Linked DNA regions of Macaca mulatta. Each later gene encodes a partner of the first gene's protein in a complex. Links are inferred from orthologs where the notes say so. Each region holds a gene or a part of one and is shown in the gene's direction. Other genes may lie near its edges. The genes, in order: TLR4 and LY96.

What was found.
Region 2: the proteins of TLR4 (region 1) and LY96 are in contact, whole or in part, in a crystal structure (PDB 4G8A), measured with the Homo sapiens proteins. The link is inferred for Macaca mulatta from reciprocal best matches to the Homo sapiens genes TLR4 and LY96. Residues at the interface, in NP_612564.1 of Homo sapiens: Gln39, Met41, Glu42, Asp60, Ser62, Phe63, Asp84, Ser86, Arg87, Thr110, Gly111, Val132, Val134, Glu135, Asn156, His159, Ser183, Ser184, Asp209, Leu212, Arg234, Val259, Glu262, Phe263, Arg264, Asn265, Glu266, Arg289, Ala291, Tyr292; in NP_056179.4 of Homo sapiens: Met40, Tyr42, Ile66, Pro67, Arg68, Arg96, Ser98, Asp99, Asp100, Asp101, Tyr102, Ser103, Phe104, Arg106, Leu108, Lys109, Gly110, Glu111, Thr112, Thr115, Thr116, Ile117.

Annotation. Positions count from the first base shown.
Region 1 is NC_133420.1:40,573,238-40,577,154, reverse strand, and holds the start of TLR4 (toll-like receptor 4 precursor), read left to right. Parts: upstream 1-1,594; coding exon 1,595-1,687; intron 1,688-3,917.
Region 2 is NC_133413.1:84,569,240-84,573,111, forward strand, and holds the start of LY96 (lymphocyte antigen 96 precursor), read left to right. Parts: upstream 1-883; coding exon 884-995; intron 996-3,872. UniProt on the Homo sapiens protein: Binds bacterial lipopolysaccharide (LPS). Cooperates with TLR4 in the innate immune response to bacterial lipopolysaccharide (LPS), and with TLR2 in the response to cell wall components from Gram-positive and Gram-negative bacteria.

The DNA of each region.
Region 1 (3,917 bases):
ACTTGTGGGAATATAAAATGGTACAGATGCTGTGGAGAATCGTATGGTGGTTGTGCAAACAATTAAAAATAGATTTACCATATGATCCAGCAATCTAACTTCTGAGTACATATCCAGAAGAACTGAAAGCAGGGACTTTAAGAGATATTTTGTACAACCATGTTCATAGCAGCATTATTCACAATAGCTAATGTGTGGCAACAATGCAAGTGTCCATGAACAGACAAATGGATAAGCAAAATGTAGTATGTACATAGAATGGAATATTGCTCAGCTTTAAAAAGGAAGGATGCTTTGATCTATACTACACAGAAATGAACCTTGAAGACATTATGCAAAGTGAAATAAACCAGTTACAAAAAAACACATACTGTATGATTCCACTTCTAAGAGATACCTAGAGTAGTCAAAATTATAGAGACAAAAAGCAGTGCATAGTTTCCAGGGGCTAGGGAAAGGAGAAATGGGGAGTTATTGCTTAATGAATAGTGGTGATTGTACAAAAATATGAACGTAATTAATGCCACAGAATTGTACGCATACAAATGGTCAAGGTAATACATTTTATGTTATGTTATGTTATGTCATGTCATGTTATGTTATGTGATTTTACCATAACAAGGAAAATGGGGGGAAAAAAAAGAAAGAAAGTAAAACTTAGTAGTTTACGTGACTTGACCAATGCCTCGAGGCCATGAGTCACCCAGCTGAGATCTGAACTTCAGTATATTCAATTCTGAAGTCCCAGACTTTTCCCAATCTTCTTGTACTTTTCAGTGTTTCACTGGAGCTTTATTTTCAGTTTTATATGTGAGTTTCTTCACAAGAAGAGGTGGACCAAATTGCATCCTTGCAAAAACTTATATATTGAGGTCCTAAACCCCCTGCCTCAGATTATGACCATATATGGAGAGAAAGCCTTGAAAGAGGTATGTAAGGTAGAATGAGGTCATTATGGTGGGCCCTCATCCAACATAACTGGTGTCCTTATAAGAAGGGGAGATTAGAATTTAGACACAGTTGCTGACATCTTGAGTTCAGACTGGAAGCCTCTAGAATTGTGAGAAAATAAATCTCTGTGGTTTAAGCCACCCAGTCTGTAGTAATTCATTATGGCAGCCCCAGCAAACTAATACAAATAGTGTTTCCACAGCTGAAACAAACTGGAAAATCACCATCATCCTAGAGAGTTGCAAGGGCTATTTTAACAGCATCTGATGGTTTTCCTAAATTCGCCAAGCCCAGACAGAGGTCAGATGACTTCCTGGGATAAAAGCCAACTAGCTTCCTCTTGCTGTTTCTTTAGCCACTGGTCTGCAGGCGTTTTCTTCTTCTCCTTCTAACTTCCTCTCCTGTGACAAAAGAGATAACTATTAGACAAACAAAAGTCCAGAATGCTAAGGTTGCAACTTTCACTTCCTCTCACCCTGTAGCCCAGAACTGCTTTGAATGTACCAATTGCTGTGGGGCACCGGCTTGAGGAAGAGAAGACACCAGTGCCTCAGAAACTGCCCGGTGAAACGGTGAAACGGTGAGCGAGCCACGCGTTCACAGGGCCACTGTCGCTCACAGAAGCAGTGAGGATGATGCCAGGATGACGTCTGCCTTGCGCCTGGCTGGGACTCTGATCCCAGCCATGGCCTTCCTCTCCTGCGTGAGACCAGAAAGCTGGGAGCCCTGCGTGGAGGTATGTGGCTGGAGTCAGCGCCTCTGAACTCTCCCTCACTTCTGCCCAGAGCTTCTCACTGTGTGCCCTGGTTTATTTTTGCAAAAAAAGAGTTAAATTACCTTAAAGACTCAAGAAGCCACAGAGATCAAGTAATTCATTGTTAAAGGGCACTAAAGGCAGCCAATGGGGGTTTGTTCCATTTGGAGATTTTGAGTGCTAACAGGTTTGTTCCATTTGGAGATTTTGAGTGCATTAGGTTACGTAGATCTGCGTAAGGTCCCTGCTCTGCTACCTTGTGGCTGCGTGAAAAAATTATCAAACCTGTCTGAGACTAGCTTTCGCATCTATAAGAGAATTATAATACCTTCTTCACCAGAGAATAAACAGACTGCTTCAGTGTCATTTCTTCCCACCGGTGGTCTTTACACTCAGCTTCAAGCAGTCCCCCTGCTCCTGTTAATCTCAGGAAGAAGATGGCTTTTGTGTGTGTGTCTCTACAGAAAGAACTTTCTAAGTGGGTGTCAGATTTCTGTATGCAGTCATATAGTTTAGTCCAGAGGATGAAAAAAATAAGAGAATGAAAAAGGAAAGGAGAGAGAGAGAAGAAAAAAGCAAGAGGGAAATATGTATAATATCAGCTATTGCAACAGTTTGTTTCTTGGTGAAATACCAATCAGCTGGTTGATAATCTTATTCATGATGGATCTTTTTTGTTTTTCCCCTGCACAGACTTCACAGTTGCTTTAGAAACCCATAGTAGAGCCGAACAGCTAAGAAAATGATTTACAGTGAGGCAGGGTCAGAAACTCAAGAGAGGCAAAGCCAGCTGCAGTCCTGAAGTTGAGGATAGGGGAGAAAATCAAGTAATATTTAGCAAAGACCAATTCATTATCTCAAAGCCATCCCTTCCCTCAATTCCCCGCCCATAGTCCTCCTCCTTGTCTTCTTCTCTGTATCCCTCTGCTGTTAGGTTAGTGGAGATAGATTTTCTAATTAGGCTCACTGCGAGATAAAACCACAGCCAACCTTGACTTCTTCTTTTCCCCATGTACGATTTCCTGTAAGTCCCTGAAGCCTGTCCATACCTGCCCATCCCCTTCTTGCCACTGTACGGCAGGCCCTCATTTCCCCTGGCGTTGACTCTTACACAGTGACTGCTTTCCTGATTCCAGTCTTCTTCCTTTAATTCATTCTGCACGTTCTTGTTTGTTATGTATTTGCATTTGTTGTTATTATTTTTCCTTAAGCTTTGATCTAACAAAATATCTCCTTAAAAACTTTTGATAACTCTCCATTGCCATTAGGACAGGTTTCTACCACAAGGCCTTTGCACTGGCTATTTCTTCTACCTAGAATGCTAGATCAGTGCTATCCAATGGCAATATTATGTGAACCACATATGTACTTTTAAAGTTTTTAGTAGCCTCATTAAAAAAAGAAACAAGTGAATTTAATATTTTTATTTAACTTAGCATATTTAAAATAATGTTTAAAATTTTAATATATATTTACCTATTACTGATATTTTACATTCCTTGTTTGGTACTAAATCTGGAATTTAGTATATATTTTACATTTACCATGCATCTCAATTTAGACTATTCACGTTTCTTGTGTTTAATAACTGTGTATGGCAAGTGACTACCGTATTGGTCAGTGCAGCCCTGGTCATTTTCATGGTTTAATCACTCCATTCAGATTTCTGCTTACATGTCCCCTCCTCAGGGCAGTCTTCCTTGATTGCCCCATGTAGAGCTCTCCAGCCTCACTTATTTGCCTCAAATTCCCTTTTATTGCTTTATTTTTTTTTTCCGGAGCACAACATTTTATATTTTTTTTTTTTTGTTTATTTTCTCTCTCTTCCTTTGTAACGGAATTGGCAAGGACCACTATATTTCCAGTGGTCAGCACACAGTAGCCACTAAATTTATATGTGATAAATGATTGAAATAATTGCTGCAGGACAAAGTCTGAGGCCCTCCTGATCTGGTTTGCCCTCTTACTTAGGTTTCACCACTCCTACCACTCACCAGCTAATCTAAGTTTGTTTTCCACTCTTTCCATGCTCATGTTGTCCTCTCCTTACGACATGTTTTTTCTTCCCCTTTCCACATATCTAAACCTTACTCATCTTCCGAGACCCACTTTAAAATCTTCCTTTTCTGGGAAGCCTTTCCTGAATACGGACTCGATCTCTGCTTTCTCTGAACCACAGGACAAATTTTCTAAGCCTATTTTACGGCCCCTT
Region 2 (3,872 bases), on another chromosome or scaffold:
TTGTTATGAAGTATACATGCAAGGGATCTAGGTTGCATGCTCCTTATGATAATCTAATGCCTGATGATCTGGGGTGGAACAGTTTCACCCCAAAACCATCCCTCCCAATCCCCTCAGTCCGTGGAAAAATTGTCTTCCAAGAAACTGGTCCCTGAGGCCAAAAATGTTGGGAACTGCTGGTATACAGAGCTGTGGGAGAGAAGAGCAATGCAGAGGGAAAAGGAGTTCCTGTCTGTTGAGACTTTCAGGGGGACCTAGGGACTGGTTTTGTTACAGTTGACTGGGAAGCGTCTTGTTTATTTTATTTTATTTTTCATTTAAAATATTTTTCTGAAATGGAGTTTTGTTGCCCAGGCTGGAGTGCAGTGGTGCCATCTCGGCTCACTGCAACCTCTGCCTCCCAGGTTCAAGTGACTCTCCTTCCTTAGCCTTCTGAATAGCTGGGATTACAGGCGTGCGCCAACCGCACCTGGCTAATTTTTGTATTTTTAGTAGAGATGGGTTTCACCACGTCAGCCAGGCTGGTCTTGAACTCCTGACCTCAAGTGATCCACCTGCTTTGGCCTCCCAAAATGCTGGGATTACAGGCGTGAGCCACCACATCTGGCCAAAGTGTCTTGTTTTATTTTTAAGGCTTTGATCACTCTCATTTACAGTAAGTATTTGAAGAGTACATTCTAAATCATTTTTCTCTCTTCCTTTGCAGGAAGTGCTCAGATGTTAAGCACACACACACACACACAAAGAGGAAACAGTTGGATAGGAACTCAGAAATCATGTGACCGATGACTAAGTTAAATATTTTCTGCTTACTGAAAAGGAAGAGTCTGATGATTAGCTATTGATCCTCTTTGCATTTGTAAAGTTTTGGAGATATTGAATCATGTTACCATTTCTGTTTTTTTCCACCCTATTTTCTTTCATATTTACTGAAGCTCAGAAGCACTATTGGGTCTGCAACTCATCCGATGCAAGTATTTCATACACCTACTGTGGTAAGTAAAACTGCAAAACAAATAATTGTAGCATCAACTATTTTGAGGGTAAGTTTTCACAAGAACCTTACACTGTTGTGGCTGGAACACAGGAAATGTCAGTGTGTTCCAGCTGCTGTGGCGGACGCCGCCAGCAGGAAAAGCAATAGCTGGCAGCTACCCCGTGAGAATCTTTTCGACCCTTCACAGACTCGCGAGTCTCTAAACTGTGCTGTGCTTGACCTCCAAGTGCTTCTGTTCCCTGTGTCATCTTTCTCTACCCTGAGCCCAGTTTCGGGTTCTGCCCAGTTTCAGTAAAACCGTCTGCTTCTGAGCTTTCGCCTCAGCCTTGACACTTACTAGTTCTTCTTCTTGAGATGGTAGAGCAATCCCAGCTGCTTCCTGTAGTTGATTTCTGCTCCAAGCTGTGACTTTTGAGGGCTCTTGGAATCATCTCCCTAACTGGATGTAAGCCTGTTTCTGTCACTAGCTGTGTGACCTTAAGCAAAGTACTCCAGCCTTTTTAGCACTAACGTAAAAGTTTATAGCCTACTTGATAAGGGTGTTGTGAGGTGAAGTTTTTTAGCACAGGGTCACGTAAAGACAATACTCTTAATTTTTTTTTTTGGAGTCAGCCATACCCTAGTGCTATTCACTGGCTGTATCACTGTCCGCTGCCCCAGCTGCTCATTAGCAAGCGTCCTCGGGTCTGAAGGCACAGTGTCAGGCCTGACAGCTGTTTTGGTTCGGTACTTTCCACCGTGCGGCTCACCATGGATTGGCTGCCCTTTTCCACCCGCTGGCACTATCCGGAAGGTTTAAAGTGGTGCTTCCCAAAATACCAGTTCTTTGAGATTCTTTTGGGAAAATAGGATCTATGGCCTAATCATCTGGGAGAGATTTACAGATGTACTTTGAGTTCTGAGAAGTTCTGCAGTAAAGGCACCTGTTTAACCACAACATTTTCAATTTCATTTGTTGTTTGTTTGGTTTTTAGTCTGGAGTGTATGTTAACTCTCTTGAGAAACATGCTCTGCCAAATGCTAATATAAAGTGACTTTCGGGAAATTGGGATAATTGCCACATGTGAGAAGGAGACTTAGGAATGTGGCCAGTCACACACCATGGCCCTTCTTCTCCTGGTGGGTTGCACTGAATTCCCTCTCAACGTATCTCTAAAATCTCCCCATGCTACAAGATCCTTTTGCATTCCGCTCTTCCAGCAAGGCTCCTACTCTACTTGGCCCCCACTTCCCTTTCCTCCTTTGGCCCTTTTGTACCATGTGCGAATTACGCCACTCTGTGTGTGTGTGCATGTGTGTGTGTGCGCGAACGCATGGAGTTTTGCTCTGTTGCCAGGCTGGAGTGCGGTGGCATGATTTTGGCTCATTGCAACCTCTGCCTCCCAAGTTCAAATCATTCCCCTGCCTCAGCCTCCTGAGTAGCTGGGACTATAGGTGCATGCCACAACACCTGGCTAATTTTTGTTTTTTGTATTTTAGTAGACACAGGGTTTCACCATGTTGATCAGGATGGTCTCAATCTCCTGATCTTGTGATCTGCCCCCACCGGCCTCCCAAAGTGCTGGGATTACAAGCATGAACCACCTCACCTGGCTTATGCCACTCTTTATATGATCTTTATGGATATAACATTTTGTATTATTATTTAGCTTTTAGTCTTTTCTTAACAATAACTCAATTTGTCTTTTAAAAACATTTCACATTTTGTAATATTTTATCATTTATTTTTGAGACAGGGTTTTGCTCTGTTGTGCAGGCTGGAGTGAGTGGCATGATCTCCACTAACTGCAACCTACACCTCCCTGGCTCAGGCCATCCCCCTAGCTCAGCCTTCCTAGTAGCTGGGACTATAGACATGTGCCACCACGTGTCTTGGTTAATTAATTAACTTGGCTAATTATTAATTAATTATTATTTCTTTTGAGTTTCACTCTTGTTGCCCAGGCTGGAGTGCAATGGCGTGATCTTGGCTCACTGCAACAACTGCCTCCCGGGTTCAAGCGATTTTCCTGCATCAGCCTCCTGAGTAACTGGGATTATAGGTGCCCACCACCTATAATTTTTGTATTTTTAGTAGAGACAGGGTTTTGCCATGTTGACCAGGCTGGCCTCGAACTCCTGACCTCAGGTGATCCACCCACCTCGGCCTCCCAAAGTGTTGGGATTACAGACGTGAGCCACCACAGCTGGCCTAATCATTAATTTTTTTGTAGAGATGGAGTCTTGCTATATTGCCCAGGCTGGTCTAGAACTCCTGGGCTCAAGAGATTCTCCCACCTTGGCCTCCCAAAGTCCTGGGATTACAGATATGAGCCACTGCACCTGGCTTAAAATTTCACATTTTAATCACTTTTGAGTGTTTGGCTCAATTGTATTAAGTATATGCACATTGCTGTGAAACCATCACCATTGGTTTATCTTTTTATTTGACTTTCTAATTTTTTTTTTCTTTGAGACAGTCTCACTCTGTCTAGACTGGAGTGCAGTGGTACAATCTCAGCTCACTGCAACCTCTGCCTCCTGGGTTCAAGCAATGGTCGCGCCTCAGCCTCCTAAATAGCTGGGATTACAGGTGTGCACCACCATGCCCGGCTAATTTGATTTGACTTTATGAAGGAGGATCTTCCTACTTTCTCTCTGAGAAATCCTGTGGTCCTTTCCTGCTGCCCCACTGACAAAGGGACTGTGGGCAAGCCACTGGAATACACATCTACAGCAAGATGCTGCTTGCTGCCATCCCCACTGCCATATGACTGCCTTCCCGGCCTGAGAGAATCCATCCCACCAGGCCAAAAATGCATTATCTGTGGGAAGCACTGATTCCTCTAGGTACTATTGTGATTCCTCTAGGTACTATTGTGAGGGTGTTGGTGAC